3 linked regions of the Diceros bicornis minor genome follow. The protein of the gene in region 2 binds, or shares a complex with, the protein of the main gene of each other region. Links are inferred from orthologs where the notes say so. Each region holds a gene or a part of one and is shown on either strand. Other genes may lie near its edges.

Region 1 (7,230 bases), on a different chromosome or scaffold from region 2:
CAGTGGCCCCCACACTTGGGGATGGGGCGATCACATGCTCGACGACGGGTCCGGGTCCCTTTGGAGCAGGTAACAGAGCAAGGCGCCCAGGGCCCCCAGTCGGACCAGCCACCTATCTCTGTGGAAGAGAAGAGAGGGGGACAGGATGGAGGTGGGGCTGTCATTCAGGAGTCCTTGCTTCCTCATGAACCCTACATAAGTCAATCCTGTTTCCATATCCTCTGCCACACTTGGCCCACCATCATTGCTCATCTGGACTATTGCAGTAGCCTTCACACCGGTCCCCCTGCTTCACCCCTCACCACATGCAGGCTGTCCTCCTCCTGACAGCGAGAGAGATCTGTCACAACCCAAGTCAGATCACGGTTCTCCTCTGCCCACAGCCCACACCCCTCAGAATAAAAGCCAACATCCTCACCATGGCCCACAGGGATCAGGCCCCCTCTGACTTCACCTCCCACCACTCTCCTCCAGCCACACCAGCCTCCTCCTTAGTACCTCATGAATCAGGCACAGTCCCACCCTAAGGGCCTCTGTCCTGATCATTCCCAGTGCTGGCTAATGGGCAGTGCTTGTCCACTTTGCTGATCCTCCTCACCAGGACAGCATGGCTGTTCCTCACAGGCTTGCAGCTGCCACTCGAGGGTTCCAGGTGCCACCTTCTCAGAGCACTGCCCGCCCCAGCCTATGCAGCGCCGGTGCCGCAGCTGGGAGCCCTCAGCACAGGTAACTGAGCAGGGGGCCCACGCAGACCACGGTGACCATCGTGGGTACCTGCAAAGAAGAGCATGTCTCCCATCCTGGCACGAGCTGACAAGGATGGTGTACAGCATTGCACGGTGTGGGCAGGCCCAGGCACGGGTGTGGGATAAATGTATGTGGAATAGATTGATGAGAGCACCTACCTCTTAGGGATGTTGGGGGATTGAATGGGAAGAGGTGGGTACACAATAAGTGCTTAATAAATGCCATTTACCTTCATGATCAGGGATCTAAAGTTACCCTTTGAAGACCCCCAAGGACACTGCCAGGCATGCAGTAAGCAAATGTAAGGACTAGGGATCCAGAACAGCTGTCAGAAACCCACCAGGCCACCATTGTGGACGGTAGCAGGCAAACAGGAAGTGCTTAATAAATAGGAGCCATCATCCCAATGAGCTCAGAGACCCTGTCAGAAATACCCCAGATCTATTCCCAACTCCCTGCACAGCATAACGCTAAATAGATGTGAACTGTTGACAGGACCAGGGGCCCAGAACTGCCTTCGCAAATCCCCGAGCTCCCCATCCCCATGGTGTATCTAGACTATACAGTAAGCAGCTAAAAATATGTCTGGCAGGAGCCAGCCCCGCGGCGTAGCGGTTAGGTTCGCGCACTCCGCTTTGGTGGCCTGGGGTTTGCAGGTTCAGATCCCAGGCGCAGACCTACGCACTGCTTATCAAGCCATGCTCTGGCGGCGTCCCATATAAAGTAGAGGAAGATGGGAAGATGGGCACGGATGTTAGCCCAGGGCCAAACTTCCTCAGCAAAAAGAGGAGGTTTGGCAACAGATGTTAGCTCAGGGCTAACCTTCCTCACAAAAAAAAAAAATGTCTGGCATACAGTAAAGGCTCAATGCATGTAAGCTGGTGTCATGATTAGGAGACTAGAGCTACCCTCAGAAATCCTCCAGCTACCCTCGACCTCTGCAATGCATCTGGTGTGCCAGAAGTCCTCAATGAATGTGAAGTGTCATCATAATTAGGGGCCTGGAGCTGCCCTCAGAATTCCCCAAACTCCCACCCCCACAGTGCATCTGTATACAGTAAGCACTCAATATGAGCTGTCATCACAATTAGGAGACTTGAGTTACCTTCAGAAATACCTGAGCTGCACCCCACCCACAATGCTTCCAGTATGCAGGAAGTGCTCAATAAATGTAAACCATGGCAGTGGTTCTCAGCCAGGGGTGATTTTGCTCCCAGGGGACATTCGGCAATGTCTGGAGAAATTTTGGTTGTTGCAACTGGCAGGGGCAGTTGCTACTGGCATCTAGTGGGAGGGATGCTATGAAATACCCCGCGATGCACAGGTCAGCCTCCCACAACAAAGAATTTTCTGGCCCCAATTATCAATAGAACCGAGGCTGAGAAATCCCGAGCTATGGTCATATTCAGGGCCTTGGAGCCACCCTTGGAAAACCCAGAGAAGGAATGAGCCCAGTTCTGCCTCCCCACAACCCCAGGCTCCCCCTAACCTGCATGCCTGACAGAGCTTCCTGCCGGGCTCCTGGAAGGCATAGGCAGCGTTGAGACAGCAGTCTTCCACACTAACACCTCCCCCCAGGAGGCCCTTGCACTTGCCTGAGGATTCCTCATACTGGGTGAAGCAGAGTACGGGGTCTGAGCCTGTAACATGGCGGGGGGGGGCATGGTCAGGAGTGTGGTGGGCCCGGGCACCTCGGGGCCCAGCTGGGTCCTCCCCCACTCACCTGTGGCTGGCAGAGTGAGAAGCAGCAGCAGCAGAGGCAGCAGCAGCAACCGAGGGGCCTGCGCCAGGGCAGGCATGCTGAGCCCTGCACCCTGCAGCTCCGCCAGAGAGGAGGCCTGGCTTTCTGCAGGCTGACCGGCTCCCAGAGTCAGCGGGAAAGAGGAACCATGGGCAGGAGGAACTGGGAGGGCGAAGGGCAGCACGGGGGAGGGGAGGGCATCATGCAGGTCTCTTCAGCTCCAACCTTTCCCCTGTCACCTCTCCTCTGAGCCTCCTCCTCTACTCTCCCCTTCCTACTTCCTGTCTCGCTCTTGATCCTGTTTTGTTTGTCACTGTATCCCCAGCACCCCAGGCCCTGCCCAGCAACCCTTTAGCACTCAATCAATGCTCCTTGGACAAATTCTCACTGAGGGGAAATGTAGCATAGGAGTTTGGAGCAAGATGAGCTTCCTAGCTGTGTGACCTTAGGCAAGTCACTTGAACTTCTCTGAGCCTGTTTCTCCACCTCTAAGATGCATAATCTCCACCCCAACGACAGGGTCAACCTCACAGGGGCATTGAACAAGGGTGAAATGAGTGTGGCGTGCTCAGTATGCCTCCTCACGGGGTGGAGCAGGCATTGAGGTAATTGCTTCATCCCCCATCCTGACTTGCCCACTGCCTTGCCCTCCTCTTTCCTGAAAGCGAGGTTTCCTGTGGTCAGCATGGGGAAGGGAGGTCAGCACAAGGGAAGTGAGAAGGGGAAGTGGCAAGAGTGTGGGGAGGATTCAGGAGGAGTGAGTTGGGGATATCCACTGTCCCAGGGGCCCAGCCGGGGACACCTTCAGGGCCTGGGGAGGGGTGGTTGGCAGGGAACTGGCTTGGCCATGTTCCATCAGAGTAACTTGGGTAGGTGACACCTCCCTCCCTGAACTTACATCATAGGGTTTGTTGCAAAGATTGGGAGTAAAGATTTTAAAAAGTCCTTAGCACAGTGCCTGGCATACAGTACATGCTCTGTGTTTGTTACATAAATTTATTCAATATTTATTGGGCACCCATCGGGTGCCAGATGCTGTTCTTAGCATTGGACGGAACAGAGAACAAGACGGCCAAAAATCCTGGCCCTCAAAGGGCTTGCGCTCTGAAAGTGGAGACAGACAATAACTGTCACCTCCCTCACAGAGGTTGTCCCTAGCTACCCTTTATGTACGGCACCCCTGTCGCTCTCTAGGTCAGTGGCTCTCACATCTTAGCATACATCAGAATCATCTGGAAGGTTTCTTAAATCACAGATTGCTGGGCCCCACCCCCGTTTCTGATTCTATAAGTCTGTGGTGGGGCTCAAGAATGTGCACTTCTTTTGGGCCGGCCCCGTGGCTTAGCGGCTAAGTGTGCGCGCTCCGCTGCTGGCGGCCCAGGTTCGGATCCCGGGCGTGCACCGACGCACCGCTTCTCCAGCCATGCTGAGGCTGCGTCCCACATACAGCAACTAGAAGGATGTGCAACTATGACATACAACCATCTACTGGGGCTTTGGGGGAAAAATAAAAAATAAATAAAATTATAAAAAAAAAAAAAAAGAATGTGCACTTCTAACAGGCTCCCAGGTGACACGGAAGCTGCTGGTCTGGGGACCACACTTTAAGAACCATCATTCTAGTCCCTGACCCCTCTTTTTCTTTGTAGGTCTCATCTACAAAAACTATTCTACATGCTCCTTATTTTACTGTTAATAATTAATTCCTCTTCAGCTCATTTTCCATGCAGGTAAAACTGAGTTCCACGACCCCCTCTTTTTTTTTTCATAAGCCCTAATGAGTGAAACTCTAGAGCCTGCTTTAAAAACAGAAAGCTTTTTAACAAAAAGGAGTCTAAGAAAGTTAGGAAGGCAAGGTCTCATTTCTCTTGCATTCATGGAGGGAGAAATACCATTCTGCAAATTAAAGTAAAAGAATTTGATTTGGTCAGGTGTTAAAACAGAACTTTCTCAAGAACATTGGTCTTGTTTTATGGGTGATAAGGCGTGTTGACATTCATATCCATTACAGACGTACTCTGTTTCCTGATAATATAGCCTGTCTTTGCAAGTGTGCTTTGAACAAAAGGGTCTTGTTAAGATTCTAAGACTTCAGACATCAGTGCTGCGTTATCCTGTGAAAACAAACTCCCAAGAAACCTGTAATTCTGGTTGGTTGCTTTATCTATCACCCGTTGCCCAGGTAATAATGCTATAATCGATATTTCCTTTGTTCCTAAACTGTATAAATACTCATAGGATTCCTGTGGAAGAGGACTGTCGGCGTTTTCATCTGCTCCCACACGTTTGGGCAATAAAACGACTCTGCAGATTTCTTATTTAAACAAAGAGTGAGAGAGTCTTGTCTCATGTAATTATTGCACCACCACCTGACATGATGTATTTGTTTCTTGTCCAACGTCTTCACTAAAATACCAGCTCTAAAGGCAGGGGTTTCTGTCTGGTTTGTTAACCACTGTGTCTGCAGGGCTCAGCAAACATCTGCTGAATGACTAAATAAACGAAGTAAACAAAACTTAGAGATTCTGGGTAAGTGCTAACAGGAACAGTCTGGGTTGGAGGTAAAAATGTGGGCGTCACCAGGGGAGTCGGGTCTCAGGTGCCAGGACTGGGGCAGACTGCCTGAAGGGGGCTTGTGAGAAGAGGGAAGGGAACCCCAGGCAAAGCCCCGGGGAACTTCAGCATTTCAAGTTTTGGAGAACTGGGAGAAGCCAGCCCAGGGGATTGAGGAGGAGGGATCTGTGGAGGAAGAGAACAAACAGAAGAGGGCTCTCCCCTAGGCCTGGCACATTCCATTCGTGGTCTCTCATACAGTCTCATTTGGTCTCAGTCATTTTCCTTCACTTTTTAAAAAACATAGTTACACACATAGTTCTGGATTTCCAGCCTCAACTATAGTCTGTTACAAACAGGCTCATATACATACTCGATCACACAGCCTCTCAGACATCCTCAGCCACTCACTCAGGGAGTCATTGATTCCCAGTCTTACTATCGTCTCCTACTAACACTCTCTCTCTCTCTCTCTCTCTCTCTCTCTCTCTCTCTCTCTCTCTCTCTCTCACACACACACACACACACACACACACACACACAATCACGTCTCATAGGCTGTCTCATTCGGCAAATATCACCACGATTTACTTTTACCAGTTTTTCACGTGCACACAAACCAGTCACACCTTTTGATAAGATGTTTCAACCATTCACACAGGCCATAATTTTCTCACATCCACAAATAGTCACTGATTTACAGCCACTAGTCTCTCATGAAGTTTCTTGTACACATACAAAATCTTCTCTCGCACCTCTTCACAATCAAGCCCCTATTTCACACACCCACAGTCCGATTATAGCTGAGTTGCACACACAAACACAATCACAATACCTCAGACATTGTCCTAGTCACCACCTAGTCTCACACTTCTCAAGCAGTTTCTAACATACCCAGTCCTTTATTTACAGCCTTTAATCAAGTCCCACGCGAAGAGTTTTACACATACTCACACAATCACTTTTACAGATACTGTCTCAGTCACCCATTCGGTGTCACAGTCACTTTCCCTCAGTCAGCTTCTGACATGTGTAGTCACTAATTCACAATCACTACTAGGCTCTCATTAAGTCTCACACACACAGTCTCTCAGGGCCTATCTCAGTTATTCACATCATCTTCTTCTTCATACAGTCAGCTTATCACGTACACTCAAACACAATTACAGCCTTGCTGGTTTCTCCCACACACCAATCACATGGTCTCTCAGTGTCTCATTTTCTGTTTTTCACAAATACATAGTCTCCAATTTATAATCTCTTATGAAATGTTTCGCAGACCCACATACTCTTAAACTCTGCTCAGTCGTCAATTTTCTCTCACGCAGCGCTGACGTTATTCTTACTTATCGTCTCTCGCTCAGTTATGTGGTACCACTTCACTCAGACTCACCATCATTTTCTCTCACACTTTCACAGTCCCTGAACCTGTGGGCTAGACTAGTCACTGTAAATCAATTTGCCACTAGTCTCTGGTACACACACAATTACAGCCTCTCATGCTCTCCCAGTCATAGCCGTTTTTTCCCAGTTTCTTACACAGTCTTTGCCAGTCTCGCGTGAACAGTTTTCAAACACACAATCCCGCATTCATGTATCTTGTGTCTCAGGCACCCATTTTCTCTCAATCAACTTCTCACACATAAGCCCCATTACTCTAGTTGATACGACAGCCTTGCACGAACAGTTTCACACACAATCTATCTCCCAAACACTGAGTACCTGCTTACATACAGTGAACTCTTTCACCGACACACAGTCCTTGACAATCTCTACCACACTTTCATGCCCATATAGGCTCTCACACATTGTTTTGATCACTCAGTCTGTCTGGCTCACCATCAGTCTGTCAAACAGAGACTGATGTGCAGCCCCCACTGCCTTCTCATAAACATTATTTCACACACACCACCGGTTTCTTGTATACTGCCTTAATCACTCATTCAGTCTGACAGTGATTTTCTGACACACAGCCACAATGTCAAGTTTGTGGTCACAACTTTCACTTTCTCACACAGTTTCGCACATATATACATGCGATCACAGCTTTCCACAGTTTCTCTCTTTTTCACACACCTGGTTACCAATCTTCAGTCTCTAATACTATTTCTGACACACACCATCATGCTGTCTCTTTCACAATCAACCTCACACCCTCACCGCCTTCCACACAAAGTCATGCCTGTCAC
Region 2 (6,944 bases):
TGTTAGTTCCTGCCTTTAATTTGTGATCTGTGGAAAGGGAAAACATCATCACCTCACCCAGTCTTTCAAGCCATCCCAGAACACCAGAGGCCTATCAGCAACTGAGATCCTACATCTTTCAACTTTTTAAGTTGATCATCACTCCACTGACTTCCCTTTGACCACAAAGTGACCCTCTCCGCCCCAACGGGTTCCCACTAACTGCCATTCTCCCGTGACCCTGCTGTCCAACCACGGACTTCAAAGTGGTCCTCCCTGCCCGCACACATGGTCTCACTACCTGCTTCCCACAACACCCCTGAACCTTCTGGCCTCTCTGACCCCAAAGTGAACCTGCTACCATTCCCTTCCCTGACCTCTGACCTTCGTAGCTGATTTCATTGAGCTTCTCTGTGACCCAGTCTGCATCGCTGCTCTTGTCTTCGGACACTCTGATCAAAATCTTGGGGACTGTGGCATATGTCACTAGACCATATTTTGGCTTCACCCCATAACTTGCCACCTGTGGGTGAGAGGAGCAAGGAGTCATGGCATTGAGAGTAGAATACTATATTTGGGAGAATTCAGCAGCTTTGCTGGGACAGGGATGGTCATAGTAAGAGACTGAAGGGCTGGTGCTGGCCCTGTGGCATAGCGGTTAGGTGCGTGCGTTCCGTTGCTGGCGGCCCAGGTTCGGATCCCGGGCTTGCACCGACGCACCGCTTGTCAGGCCACGCTGTGGCGGTGTCCCATATAAAGTGGAGGAAGATAGGCACAGATGTTAGCTCAGGGCCAGTCTTCCTCAGAAAAAAGAGAAGGATTGGCATGGATGTTAGCTCAGGGCTGATCTTCCTTACACACACACACAAAAAAAAGACTGAAGGGCTGACTGGTTACCTTAAGGTTCATGGAGGAGTGTGGGTTAAAGGTCAAGAAACTGCTTCAAGTAAAAGAGCAGGACAGAATAGGACCTGGAGATTTTCATCAGAGGGCCTGGGAGCACAAGGGAGCTAGTCCTGGTAGGGCAATAAGGTCCATTCAGGGTCCCCACATCCAAAGGGCAGGGGTTCCACCTTCTCAATGAAGTCTCTGAGACAATTCTTGGCCCCTGTGAAGTTGTGGGCCCCAACGCTGTCTGATCCATCCAGCACCATGTAGATGTTCATGGAGCCTGAGGGGTCCAGGACAATCTTCCTCTTCTGTTGTTCCCCTGGGTGCCACCAGAGAGACTCAGGCTCCAGCATGCATAGTCCTCCTGCCCCTTCTCCATCCTCCTCCAATTCCCTGCCCTGCCTCCCCTCTCTGCCTTCAAACCTGGGCTGTGCCCATCCTCGGCATCGACTCCTTCTATGGTCTCTGTCAGGGAAGACAGGAAGGCTTCGGCCACCTCTGCAGGGGTGTCGTACATAAAGGAGTCTGGGAGAGGTCAGAAATCAGGTCAAATATCTGGGAACGTCGGGGATACAGTGACCAGAGAGGCAGAGGATGCTGGGTTTCCAGGGTGGGAAGGGCTCAGAAGTGAGGAAGTTCTACAGGGAGGTTTAGAAGTGAGGAAAGAGCTGAGTTGTGGTAGGGGGAGAAGACACTGCCATGGTGTGGGAACCTGAGGATGGGAGAGCAGGTTCTGACCTGAGGGCACAGGTCAAGGGTCACCTTGGCAGGAAGGCTCCGTTCCACTCCAAGAGCCACCTTCCTGGCATGTTCGCCTCTGGGAGCCACGTAGGGTGAGCCCCCGGCTGCAGTAGTAGGTGACACTGTCTTCGAGGCGGTACTGGCTGCCCACCTTCCTTGTGCCAAGGGGGATGCCTGGGTTGGGGCAGTACGCCGCTGCAGAGGCATGAGACATGAAGATGAGCACCAAAGCCTGAGGCCCAGAGGGCAAAGTAGAGCACAAGAGCTATGGTGCCTGTTCCTCAGGCTGGAGCGCGGTCATGGAGAGGGTACTGTTGTTGGGGGATGGGATGCTTCTCACCTCCATCATCGCAGATGGCCGTTTGCCCATCCCACCGACCAGTCTCTTGGCAGGTGCGATTGGCAGAGCCCCGGAGAGTGTAACCATCATAGCAGCGGAAGGAGATCTCATCACTCAAATTGTAGTAGGGGGCCCGGGGCCAGTACTCCCCATTCTCAAAGTCCTGTGGTCTTGGGCAGCGAATTGCTTTGGGGGAGGGGGACAAGTAGAAGTTACTGAGAGGGAAGGGCTGCCCTTTAGGGTATCTCTGCTGGTCTCAGGGACCGTGTCAGTGAGAAACACTGTCTTCTTGGTCCCACAGGAGCAGAGTCTACCCTCAACCCTTGGAGAGTCCCTCAACCCATGGGGAGTCCCACTGCTCCTCTCTCCCCATTTCTGAGTGTTCCATTAACTGCCAGGGCTGCCTGGCACAGGGCGAATGCTTAGTAAAAGTTAGCTCCTTTCCTCCTCCCTCCTTCCCACCTCCAGCCCTAGACAGCTCCTACTCTTGCTCAGCCCAATTTGTCTGCCTGCCTGGTCTCAATGCAACTCTAATCTCATCCTTGTATGGCTGCCACCTGCTCTGTCCCTCTGCTGGCCCATGCCCACCCTCACCACCCTCCAACCTCTGCATTCTGCCTTCTTGACAATCTTTTGGTCTTGGGTCTTCAGGGTGCTCCAGGAGCCCGTGGATCTGCAGGTGCGAGTTTGCATAGGGTACGGGTAGAAGCCAGCGGGACACATGTACTCCAGTGCCTGGCCCTCCTTGAGAAGCCGGAAGGAGCCGCCTTTGATCTCTACTCCCTCCAGAGAGCAGGAGTCTTGGGGTTCGGCCACAGGCAATGGTGTCGTGCTCACATCTAAAGAAAAAGGCTGATGAAACCTAGCCTCACAAGGCCAAGGAGGGATGCCAGGGGCAGAAGGAGGGGGACAGTGACTCTCACTTACCTCCAAACAAGAGGCCCAGGACCAAGGGTACCAAGCAGAATTGGGGGCTGAGATTGCTCCCCATGGCGATGGAAGGCAGGAGAGAAGCTGGGACTGGGGGCAGGATGGCCTATCCCGCTTGCACTGCGTGTCTGCTTGGCTCAGTGTCCAAGCTGAAACTCCACACCCAGGCCTGCTTGCACTCCCTTCCCCTGCCCCCCACAACCTCTAGCCTTTTATGCAATCTGTATTCTGGCACCTGCAGCTCACCCCACCCGCCCTACCCACATCACTTTCCGGAATGTCCAAGCGGGAGGGCCCCCACTGAGCCACCAGTCAAGGAAATAGAAACTGCACAAGCCCCACCCTTTGCTGCCCAGGGTCCGGGACTCTCCCCTTCAACACCTCCTCTCAGCCCCAGTTCCCCCCCAATAAGCCCAGACCGCCCTCTTAGTGACCAGAAATAAGGCCCCAGCTCGCTCCTCTGTTGACTCGGTTATGGAGCAGAGTCCAGCCACTGTTTGTCCAGCAGGGTCTCTGACCTGCCTTCCTGCAGTTCCTGGAATCATTCCGGCCTTCCCCTCCCCTGAAGGCAGCCCCCAGGCAGAGGCACGGACAGATGTGGAAATCACTGATTTTTATTAATTTCATAACTGGGAAATTCCATGTGAAAGTGAAAGGAGAGTGAGCCAAGTAAAGCAGAGGGTGGGATGGGCACTGGCAGGAGCCCTGGGGATTCCCCAGCTCAAATATGCTGCTTCGGGATCCTGGAGGCTGGGGTTTACTGAGAGTTGGGAGTGAGAATAGGGCATGGGGTCTGAGGGTGGAAGTTCAGAGGTAGGAGATGGGAGAGATGGCAGATGCTGGCAGGACCGCAAAAGGGTTGTGGCCATGATTAGAGGGGCAAAAAGTTCAGTACGCCTTCCAGGTGCTGCCTGAGCCAGGGCTGCAGGCGGAAGAGATTGATGTGGAAATCTCTTGGCGGTGGGACCCTGCCAGGGGGGGCCCTTTTGCGGGCTTTTTTATCGGTGCTGCCGCAGGGGTTGTAGAGACCCCAGCTCACCAGGCCCACCTGGAAGAAAGAGAGAATGGGGTGGGAGGCTGCCACAGCCCCAGCTCCAAGCCCTAACCTCCCTGGTTCCTTCAAAGTCCTCCCTCATCCCTCTACAAGGCCAAAATCCTGTAACCCCCATCTCGCGAGCTTCTCTCTTCTCGCCTCACCTGAAAAAACCTGAATCTCCGCTCGAGGAAAACTGCTCCCCCAGATTCTCCTGCCAGAAAGGAGAGACAAAAGACTGTCATCCTGACTCTCGCCCTGCTCCCCTGTCATCCAGGCAGTGCACCGGTGTCCTGGTGTGCATGCTGGCCATGGGACATGGATAGCCATCCCCTCAAGAATCCAGGCTCTGGGATGGGGTGTGGGTGAGAGGGGCTCACCCTTGCAGGGATTGTCATCCTTCTCGGTCCCACTGCATAGGAACTGGTCTGTCACCACCTCTCCAACATCTGTCAGGTTGGGGAATGTGGTCTTGTCTTGGGAGACGACCTTGATACAGTTTGCCCACTGCAGTAGGGGTGGAACAGGAGAGAAGGATGGAATGAGAAAGCCCAGGGGATACCTGGTGTGCAGCTAGGCCTGGGAGGAGGGGCAACTCGGGGTGACGTGGAGAACACAGCCAGAGCTAGAAGAGGAAGAGAGATGTTCTGGGAACTGCCACAGGGGAATCCCATCCCCCACCGCGTCCCGGACCTGAGACCCTCACCTCTGTCCCTGTCTTAAGGTTAATGTTCAGTCTGCTCCCATTCAAGGCCACAAAATGAGCAGGAATGCTCTGTTGGTTCAGAAGTTCAAGCTCTGCAGTCAAAGAGAAGGGGATGTGGTGCTGGTCCCTTTATCCAGACTCTAGACTTGGGGATGGCAGCACAGCCCATGTCATCACCCCCAAGTCGTGGTCCCAGCTCCTCATGCACCCGAAGCCCCAGCACTCACCGTGGGTTTGGCAGCTGCTACCTGGCGGTCTCCGCAGAGCCAGGTTGGCCCCCACTGTACAGGGAAGGCAGATGGGCCTGGAAAGAAGGGCAAGGGTCACACAGGCCTGTCTTCAGTGACCCCTCTTCCGGAGCTCCGCAGAGCACTCTCCCCTGGAGGGCGCCCTCCCATCCCAGACTCCAGCACCTGGCATGAGTGGACATCTCCACTTTCTTGGCCAGCTTCAGCAGGGCGATGTCATCCCCATAGAACTCTGGAATTCCCTGATTCTTCTTGGCATAGACATCGAACCCCGAGGAGATCACTGCCTTCTCAATCTCAAAGTCTTTGCCCCACTTGGAGTTGGGATCCCCTGGGAACAATATGGCGGATTAGGCTGGGCCAGGGTTCCTGAAGAGGCCAGATGCTAGGGACAAGGGTTGGGAGCTCTGGCCATGGAGTCGGGAACCTGGTGCGGGCCCTGTCTTACCCACATTGACCCTCCACAGAGTACGGTCCTCAGCTTGGCGGAAGCAGTGAGCAGCTGTCAGGACCCACTGGTCAGAGATGAGGGCCCCCCGGCAGGTCTCCTGGCTCTTGGGCTGCAGGGGGACAGGTAATCTTCAGGGACTGCTGTGTCTCTGGCCCATGGCTGCTTTCACCTCTGGATCCAAGCCCCATCCCTGCTTCCTCATACCTTAATAGTGACATGCCAGGGTGTCCTCTCCTGGGCGGAAGCATTGGCTGACATGTTCCCCACCCCACAGATAGTGTCTGTGAGCCGAGAGACATCTGTGGGTGTGAGGAGCAGATGCAGAAGGAGGCAGGTGAGGAACACTGTGAGCAGGTTCCCAACCTGGACCCCTGGCTGCTCCTCACTGCCCACCCCATTCCAGAGAGGGCAAAGCTCACTCACCCAGCATGTGCTCAAAGACCTGGCTCAGAGCCTCTGCATCCTGCAGAATGAACGCATGCCTCTCGCCATCCTTCTTGGACCCCAGCTCGTTCAATTCTCTCCAGTCCACATCCAGGTTGCCCACCCCAATGGCATAGATGTCTGATGGAGAGAGGGAAATCACCAGAATCTCAGGGCTGACAGGCTACCCCATGAAACAGGAGACTGTAAGTCGGAACACTTTGTGTCCTACAGAGCCCTACATGAACTGGACCCCCACCCCCTGCTACCTATCTGATCTCATTTCCTACCACTTCTTGCCCTTCACTCTCTTCCAGTCACATAGCCTCCTTGAAGTTCCTCAAATTTGCAGGCACACTCCCACCTCAGGCCCTTTGCATGAGCTGCACCTCTGCCTGGTTCACTCTTCCCTCCGACTTCCCACATGGCTCACTTTCTTACCTTTTTAAGTCTTGACTCAAATGTCACCATCTCAGCAAGGCCTTCCCTCGCCTCCTTGTCTAAAACTGCAGTGCCCCAGACACTTCCATTCCCTCCCTGCTTCATTTTATACCTTAGCACATGTCACTGTCTACTGTGCCATATGGTTTCCTTATTTATCTTGTTTAATGCCTATAAAATGTGTCCCCCAAAAGGATATGTTCAAGTCCTAACACCTGGTACCTGTGAATGTGACCTTATTTGGAAATAGGGTCTTTTCAGATGTAATAAAGTTAAGACGAGGTCATACTGGATTAGGGTAGACCCTAATCTGATGCTTGGTGTCCTTATAAGTAGAAGGGAATCGGACACAGACACACAGAGAGACCATGTGACGACACAGAGATATACTCAGTGAAGAAGGTGATGTGAATACAGAGGCAGAGACACAGCAGTCCCTGAGTCAACCTGCTACAAGCCAAGAAAAGCCTGGGACCACCAGAGGCTGGAAGAGGCAAGGAAGGATTCTTCCCTAGAGCCTCCAGAGGGAGCATGGCCATGCTGATACCTTGATTTTGGACTTCTGGCCTCCTGAACGTGAGAAAATAAATTTCTGTTGCTTTAAGCCACCCATGTTTGTATAACTTGTTGCAGCAGCCCTAGGAAATAATATGTTGCCCCCTCCAGAATGACATCACTATGCAAGGAGGTATTTTTGTCTCTTCTATTCACAGTTGTATCCTTAGAACGGTGTCCTTTCCTGGGCCAGGCACTTACTTACT
Region 3 (7,426 bases), on a different chromosome or scaffold from region 2:
GGGTCCCCCTCAGGCTGCCGCGCCCCCGGCCATCACGCCTTCGATCCAGGCCGCGTAGCTCGCCACGCGCGTGTAGATGCCGGGCTTTTTGGGGTTGCCGCAGATGCGCGAGCCCGAGGTGACGATGCCCTCGACCACGCCCCCGCACACCAGCGGGCCCCCGGAGTCGCCCTGCGTTGGGGGGCAGTGAGGGGAGGGCCGTCAGGGTGGGCGCAGGGCCCCGCAGGCCCCGTGGCCTCCAGGTCCCGCTCCGGTTCCGCTGCCGCTGCAATTCCGCTCCTCCCTCCAGCCCCAATCTGCTTCCTGGCTCGTCAATCTCCCCAGGCCCCGCCCACCAAGCCCCGCCTCCCGGCCCCGCCCCACCCTCTGTCCCAGGCCTGTCTTGTCTCGGCGTCAACCCGCTCCTCTTACCTTGCGCCACTCCTGACCCTCTCCAGGCTCGGGCCCTGCACCTCATCTGCACCCTCTTCTGTATGGCACCTCTCCTCCCAGCCCTGCCTGACCTCAGGCCAGTCCCTCCCTGGGCCTGTCCCTGTCATTGACCCCCCCATCTCAGCCCCTCATCTTCCTGAGGCCACGCCCACTCATCTAGACCCGTATAACCCGCCCATCTGTTGGCCCCGCCCTCTGCATGTCCCGCTCCTCGCCGGCTCCGCCCCCTCGGTTGGCCCCGCCCCTTTCTGTTGACATGCCCCTTCTGTTGGCCCCGCCCTACACATGCGCTGTTCCTCACCAGCCCCGCCCTCTCAGTGCCCCACCACTCCTGGCCCCGCCCCTCTTGGCCCCGCCCCCTCTGTTGGCTCTGTCCTCGTTCACGTCCTGCCCCTGCCAACCCCAACGCCTTCTGGCCTCGCCCACCCGCGTGCCCCGCCGCACACTCTGTGTGCCCCACCCCTGGCTCGGACCCGCCCCTTCTCTCAGCTCCGCCCCTCTTGGCCCCGCCCATCACGCGTGCCCCACCCCTCTCCTGGCCCGCCCCAAGCCCCGCCCGCCCCGCCCTTCTCTCAGCCCCGCCCCTCTCCGGGCCCCGCCCTCCTCCGCACGCCCCGCCCTTCTCTCGGCCCCGCCCCTCTCTGGGCCCCGCCTTCCTTCGCACGCCCCGCCCTTCTCTCGGCCCCGCCCCTCTCTGGGCCCCGCCTTCCTTCGCACGCCCCGCCCTTCTCTCGGCCCCGCCCCTCTCCGGGCCCCGCCCTCCTCCGCACGCCCCGCCCTTCTCTAGGCCCCATCCCTCTCCGGGCCCCGCCCCTCCCCCCACGCCCCGCCCTTCTCTCGGCCCCGCCCCTCTCCGGGCCCCGCCCTCTTCCCGCACGCCCCGCCCCGCCCGCGCACCTTGCAGGTGTCTCTGCGGTTGCTTTCCGCGCACATCATGCGCTCAGTGATGGTGCCGTCGTGGTAGGTGCGCAGGTTGCAGGTGGCGCGGTCGATCACCCGCAGGAGCAAGTGCTGCAGGCGGTCGGGCCGCCGGCCGGTGTGGCTGACCACGCCCCAGCCGGCCACGTCGCAGAGCGTGCCGGCCGCCACGTCGCGGTCCTCGTGCTGCCAGCGCAGGGGCTGCACCGCGGGGCCCAGCACGGCCTCCTCAGACAGCTGGGGGAGGGGGGCGGCGTCAGGGCCGGGGGCGGTGGGGGCCCCAGCGCAGCAGGAGGGACCGCGGTGAGACTCGGGGGCATGGGGCGGTGGGGGCCCCAGCACAGCAGGAGGCACCGCGGTGAGACTCGGGGGGATGGGGCGGGGGGGTGGCCGGGGTCCCCAGTGCAGCAGGAGGGACCGCGGTGAGACTCGGGGGGATGGGGCGGGGGGCCGGGGTCCCCAGTGCAGCAGGAGGGACCGCGGCTGGACTCGGGGGGATGGGGCGGGGGGGTGGCCGGGGTCCCCAGCACAGCAGGAGGCACCGCGGTGAGACTCGGGGGGATGGGGCGGGGGGCCGGGGTCCCCAGTGCAGCAGGAGGGACCGCGGCTGGACTCGGGGGGATGGGGCGGGCGGGCCGGGGTCCCGGGGGCAGCAAGGGGCGCCGCGGCGGGGCCAGGCCCACCTGCAGCAGGAGGAGGTCGTGGTCGTTGGTGTCCGGCCGGCTGTCCGGGTGCGGCACCGCGCGGAGCACGTCGTACAGGCGCTTCGAGGGCTCGGGCTGCGACAGGGAGTGCGCGCCCAGGAGCACCTGCACCTTCCCGCCGGCCCTGGGGGAGTCCAAGCGGGTCAGAGCCGGTCTCCCCATCCACCCTCCCCCCGGACCCGCACCGGGTCCCCACCCTGTACTCCCGCGCGCCCGCACTCACGCGTCCTCCAGGCAGTGCGCGGCGCTCAGCACCCACTGCGCCGCCACCAGGAAGCCCCCGCACACGTGCTTGCCGGCCACCTGCACCGACGCCATGTAGGGCCGCGCGTGCGCCTCGGCCTCCTGGCCGCGCAGGATCCGGCCGCGGGGCTGCGCCGCTGGGGGCGGCAGGGGGCGCGAGGGCTTCCGGGTGACTGCAGCCCAGCCCTCGGATGCCCCTTCCCCACCCAGGCCGCCCCAGCCCTCAGACCTGAAATTCCATCCCTGGGATCCCCCGCCCAGTCTCAAATCTGGGGGCCAGGGAGGAGTGCCAGAGGAGACAGAGGCAATAGGGCGTGGTGGGGTCTGGAGCCAATTCCCTCCCTACACACCGCCCTAAGGGCTTCAAGTTAAACAGGAGAAGAGTGGGGTGACCAAACCCAACCCTCCCGCCGTGGTTTCACCCCGGACCCCCGTTTCCCACCATAGACCCTCAGACCCTTGTTGTGGGGGGGGGGAGTGCAGGATGCTCATGCATCAGGGTTCTGAGAATTTCTTGACTTTCAGAGCCTTCCGCTCTCATGGACCCTGCCGCTCCTCCTGCCCACCGAATGGGGCTGGGGGACAGTCTTGTTTGGCAGAGGGGGACCCCTGGCTGACCACCCTGCAGGCGGGTGGCCCCCCGGCTATCCCTGCCATCCCAGGTCCACTCACCACATAGGGCCACGCCCAGGAGGACCAGAGCCGCCAGGTGCCCGGTGTGGCCTGCCATGATGCCGCTGTGGCCTCACACTGGCCCAGGCGGGGCCCCGGGGGTGCTTTTATCAGAGCGGAGAGGGGCGGGCGGCTCCCACAAGCCCCATGGTCCGAGGGGCAGCGGCCCAGCAGGGGAAAGGGGAACCTTGTGTCCCGCCCACTCCTGCGGGTTTTCTCCTGGGGGACTTTGCGCCAAGAGTCGTTGGCCCCCGGGGATGCCTCCCGCCTCTGCGCACCCGGCCCAGGGCTGGCCCCAGAGTGGGGAGCAGACCCTCAGGATGGGCAGGGGGCAGAGCCGGACCCACCCCAGCCCCCAGCCCCTGCTCCCCAGGGGGCCCTGAGGTTTCGCAACAGCAGCTAGAGGCCATAGTTTATAAACAACCATTTCCTCATGCGTTCGCTCCTCCCTTTGTTTTCTTCCTCCTCCAACTTGGACAGGAGGTCGGGTGGGGGTGGGAGAAAGGTCGCCTGACACCCTTGTCCCCGTGGCTGTGGCTCTGGGGCCTGACACCCCAACAACAGTATTGGAAAGTTGTCGTGTAGGGGGGCAGCGGGGAAGATGAGGAAATTCAAATGGAAAGTTCAGGGTCCACCTTCAGGTGTGGCTTGATCCAGGCACCTAAAAAATGTCAGGTCTCTGCCTCTGGTTTCTACTTTCCTCCTTGATGGCTTTTCTCCTCACCAGGCTCCCCTACTCTGTCCCCCGGGGCCCCAGACTCAGCCTAGCGGCTCTGTGGGCCTCCTCAAATTCCCCATCACTCCAGCCAGTGTCTCAAGGCCACCTCTAGTTGGCCGAGCTTGGACCGCACACCCCCTCCCAAACCAGGCACTGGGGGCAGGGGATGGCGGGTTCTCATGAGTGGACCCCGGCTCACACAGCCCTCAGTAAGGGGGGGATGCTGGCTCAACCCCTCAGGAACCTACAGGGGAAGGTGCTGGGACCAGCAGGGTCGGGGGACCTCGACGTCCCCAGTGGGAACCGTGCGTGATACTTTCCCCTCTATTTCTTTTCCCTTCCAGGCAGACGATTTCATACACGCAGAGGAAAATAGAAAATAACACAGCAAACGTGATTTCCTAACTAACACGTTTCCTCGTTAAAATCAGAAACTGAACAAACAGCCGTGGGGATGCGGAGTCCGGGTTATGTAAGAGGGGACAATTATGAAATTACAACAAAACCTGGAGGCCACCCAGCGAGACCGGCCGGTTCACTAAACAACCCTGAGTGTCCCCAGATGCCGCTGACGTGGAGAGACCGCCAGGCGCCAAGGTCTGTGGGGGAGGCCATCTCGGGGCAGCGGAGGCCGCTCTGAGCTGCTGGCCCCGGGAGAGGGGGGTCGGCGGACGGCCCGCGGGGACAGGGGGCAGAATGAGGCAAAGACCCCGGGTGGGCCCCGGGCCACGAGCTCCAGCGGGAGGGGTCGGGGCAGGGACGGAGGGGGAGATTCACCTCAAACTCGCGGCACGTGGGGGCGTTATGTGAAGTCACTTCTCTCGTTTTTTGTCTCTGCTTTGGTGGCCCCGCCACCATCAGCCTTCGAGCTGCACGATGGAGATGGTCCCGCCCGTGGCCCCGGCCCAGGGAGGCAGAAGAGGGGCACAGGCCCCCCCAGGGCTGGTTCCATCGGGGCGTGGTTCCCTCGGGAAACGTGCTCTGCCCCTCTTCCCTCATCAGAGCAAAAGTCCAGGGTGGGGGGTGGCTCGTCCCCGTCACCCAGTGCAGCCGAGGCCACCAGGACCCCACCCCAGGCTGTGCCCTTTCCAGACGGCGGTGAAACCGAGGCTCAGAGACAGTGAGCGAGTTGCCCAAAGTCACAGAGCTGGGCGTCAAACTCAGGCTCCCGGGCCCGGCTTCACACCTCTCTGCGCCCCCACTCCCTTGTCTGTGAGGCGGGGGCTCCAAGAGGACCCCCCTCGAGGGCTGGAGGAGTGAGGTCCCCCCAAGACTCAGAACATTCCCGTACCTCGTGAGCACTCAACGAACACCGCCACAGTGCTTTGTCATCACCACCGGCGACACTCGTGTGATCCCATGAAAGTGGGTTTTATGGGGGGGAATCCAGAAATGGTAACCCGAATCCTTTCGTGGAAGGAGGTGGGGAAGGGACTTCTCACGTCAATGCCCCACATTTGCCGCCACCTGGTGGCAGCATACCCCAGAGGTGCCCTGACGACTTTCCACACCCGCTGGCACAACCGACACACAGCCAGACACGTTCTACAAAAGGGAGAGGGTTTTTATTGGGCGAGGTGCCCGGGGACGCGGCGTGGGAAGGGCCTGGCTGGGGCAGGCGAGGCAGGGGCACCCGGGCCGCCCTTCCTAGCGGGCCCCGCTCAGAGGGTCCCCGTGGCGGCGGAGGATGGAGTTGATCCAGCTGGCGAACTGCGCGACGGGGGCGAAGGCGTCGGGGTAGAAGCCAGAGCCGCAGCCTCCGCGGATGAAGGAGTCGATGCCCTGGACCAGCCCGTCGCAGACCAGCGGCCCGCCAGAGTCGCCCTGCGGAGCCCGACAGACGGGGTGGGAGGCTGCGCTGCCCGGGCCCCGCCCCGCTCGGGGTCGGGCAGTCCCTCCCGGGGTCCGGCCGCTGGCCGGGTTGCTGGGGCCGGGCGGGGCTCGGGGTGGGGGACGCGGGGGGCACTCACGAAGCAGATGCCGGCCCGGCGCCGCGGCACCAGCGTGCACACGTTGGAGCGTTGGCACAGGGAGGTCACCACCGTCACGTTGAGCTGCTGCAGGATGCTGGGCAGCCGCCCATTGGTGCCCAGCCGGCCCCAGCCCATGGCCAGGCACTGCGTCCCGTTCCTGGGGCTGCGCCCCTGGGCGGGCAGCTGGGCCACCTGCACGTTGGCATTGATGGTGGCCAACCCGTCGAGCTGGGACAGAGCACGTGAGTGTCACACGGGGCGCGGGCGACGGCCCTCCCCTCCCCGGCCTCAGTTTCCCTGTCTGTAATTGGCAGCAACCACAGTGGCCCGGGGCGCCCCGGACATGACTTGAGTGCTGTAAACAGGAGGTGCTTAATAATGGTGCTATAAACAGTAGGTGCTCAATAAAACAAACCATGGGCAACACTGAGGCCAATAAAACCCTCGTTCTAGAACATTCTCAGAGAAGAATCAGAAGAGTGGGATGGGAGGGTTTCTGCCTTGAGTCTCCCGCTGGCCCGAATGTGGGACTTGTGACAGGGCACGAATAACGGCGTTTGTTGATTGACTATTGCTCAGAGCTCCCGATGTCGTCTCTCACAATCTCTCCGAGGCCCGGCCAGGCGGGGTTTGTCTCCCCGAGTCACAGAGGGGAGACCGAGGCACAGAGAGACGACGTGCCTGTGACAGCTGGGGTCCCCCTGTCCACCCCCCGGCCCCTGGCCCCCACCTGGAGAACCACGATGTCGTTCTGCAGCGTCGTGGGGTCGAAGCCGTTCTCGAAGATCCTCCGGACGCCGAATGTCTGGCGGGTGCGCTCGCGCCGCCGCAGGTTGTGGGCCCCCAGCACCACCTGCACCGACCGGAAGTTGCTGCCGGCAACGGGGGGACAGGGGGTGACTCGGGCGGCCCCGGGGTCGGGGGTCAGCCCGCCCCTCGAGGAGCGAGGACAGACGGGGACACTGAGGGCCGGGGCGGATACGGGGGACTCACCGGCCATTCACGCAGTGCGCGGCCGACAGGACGAAGTCACGGGCGATCAGGGTGGCCCCGCAGAAGTGGCTTCCCCGCTGCAGGGACACCATGAAGGGCCACGCATGGGGCCGGGCCGGCTGGCCACCCACGATCTCCAAGGCCAGTGCAGGGCCTGGGGCACACGGGGGGGCAGGGCCGGTCAGCCACCCGGCTCACACCAGGACCCCAAGGGGTCCAGGCTCTTTGTGCTCACTGCCCAGATGGGGAAACTGAGGCACAGAGACGCAGAGAGGGGGCTGCCATGGTCCCCCAGCCGGGGTGCGGCTAGATTGGGGCTTAACGTGGCTTTGGAGTCCCCAGAGGGCGCCCAGGGACCCCCCGGTTCAAACCCCAGCTCTGGACTCCCACCACTCAGAACCTCAGTCTCTTCCTCTGGAAACATGTCACCTCATCCCAGCCGTCACCTCCCCACGAGGACGAGGGGCCCATGAGAGGCAGGAAGAGACGTCCAGGGACAGACAGACGGACACGCCGCCCCACTCACCGCCCAGCAGCACAGCCAGCAGGATGGGGGCGAGTACAGGGCTGGAGGGTGTGCGGCTGCCAGTCATGGTCGGGCGAGGCTCCGCGTCTCTGCCCCCCGTGCCCGCCGGCCCCTCTTATGGCCCCCACGCCGAGGCCGTTGCCGTTGCCCCACTTCCTGTCCCCCCCGGGGACGTGGAGACGAGGGGGTGACAGCAGGAAGCATGGGAGGAGGTGAGCCGGGGCCGGGGGTCCGGATCAATCTCGGA

Evidence for each region.
Region 1: the proteins of CFB (region 2) and CFP are in contact, whole or in part, in a crystal structure (PDB 7NOZ), measured with the Homo sapiens proteins. The link is inferred for Diceros bicornis minor from reciprocal best matches to the Homo sapiens genes CFB and CFP. Residues at the interface, in NP_001701.2 of Homo sapiens: Glu54, Gln56, Ser78, Thr316, Tyr317, Leu349, Ser351, Met394; in NP_001138724.1 of Homo sapiens: Arg329, Arg330, Asn331, Lys333, Pro341, Met420, Val421.
Region 3: the proteins of CFB (region 2) and CFD are in contact, whole or in part, in a crystal structure (PDB 2XWB), measured with the Homo sapiens proteins. The link is inferred for Diceros bicornis minor from reciprocal best matches to the Homo sapiens genes CFB and CFD. Residues at the interface, in NP_001701.2 of Homo sapiens: Glu298, Ala301, Ser302, Ala332, Asp333, Ile469, Asp470, Glu471, Ser472, Glu518, Tyr519, Lys585, Asp758, Glu759, Asp760; in NP_001919.2 of Homo sapiens: Asn157, His158, Ala159, Gly160, Arg161, Arg162, Arg182, Thr183, Asp186, Arg200, Val228, Cys229, Gly230, Asn231, Arg232, Lys233.

What each region holds. Positions count from the first base shown.
Region 1 is NC_080781.1:41,386,247-41,393,476, forward strand, and holds the start of CFP (properdin), read right to left. Parts: upstream 3,091-7,230; 5' UTR 2,547-3,090; coding exon 2,471-2,546; intron 2,388-2,470; coding exon 2,237-2,387; intron 775-2,236; coding exon 599-774; intron 119-598; coding exon 1-118. UniProt on the Homo sapiens protein: A positive regulator of the alternate pathway (AP) of complement. It binds to and stabilizes the C3- and C5-convertase enzyme complexes. Inhibits CFI-CFH mediated degradation of Complement C3 beta chain (C3b).
Region 2 is NC_080753.1:32,874,004-32,880,947, forward strand, and holds the start of CFB (complement factor B), read right to left. Parts: upstream 3,065-6,944; 5' UTR 2,943-3,064; coding exon 2,879-2,942; intron 2,791-2,878; coding exon 2,557-2,790; intron 2,138-2,556; coding exon 1,952-2,137; intron 1,807-1,951; coding exon 1,633-1,806; intron 1,396-1,632; coding exon 1,294-1,395; intron 1,190-1,293; coding exon 1,053-1,189; intron 503-1,052; coding exon 364-502; intron 28-363; coding exon 1-27. Other genes in the region: complement C2, read right to left, coding at 3,753-3,929, 4,079-4,128, 4,295-4,421, 4,621-4,712, 4,848-4,924, 5,034-5,199, 5,317-5,428, 5,524-5,618 and 1 more.
Region 3 is NW_026691553.1:446,490-453,915, reverse strand, and holds the start of CFD (complement factor D), read right to left. Parts: upstream 3,052-7,426; 5' UTR 3,028-3,051; coding exon 2,970-3,027; intron 2,435-2,969; coding exon 2,278-2,434; intron 2,179-2,277; coding exon 2,034-2,178; intron 1,588-2,033; coding exon 1,330-1,587; intron 172-1,329; coding exon 10-171; 3' UTR 1-9. Other genes in the region: ELANE (neutrophil elastase), read right to left, coding at 5,335-5,511, 5,658-5,888, 6,391-6,532, 6,654-6,807, 7,180-7,246; myeloblastin-like, read right to left, coding at 7,295-7,426.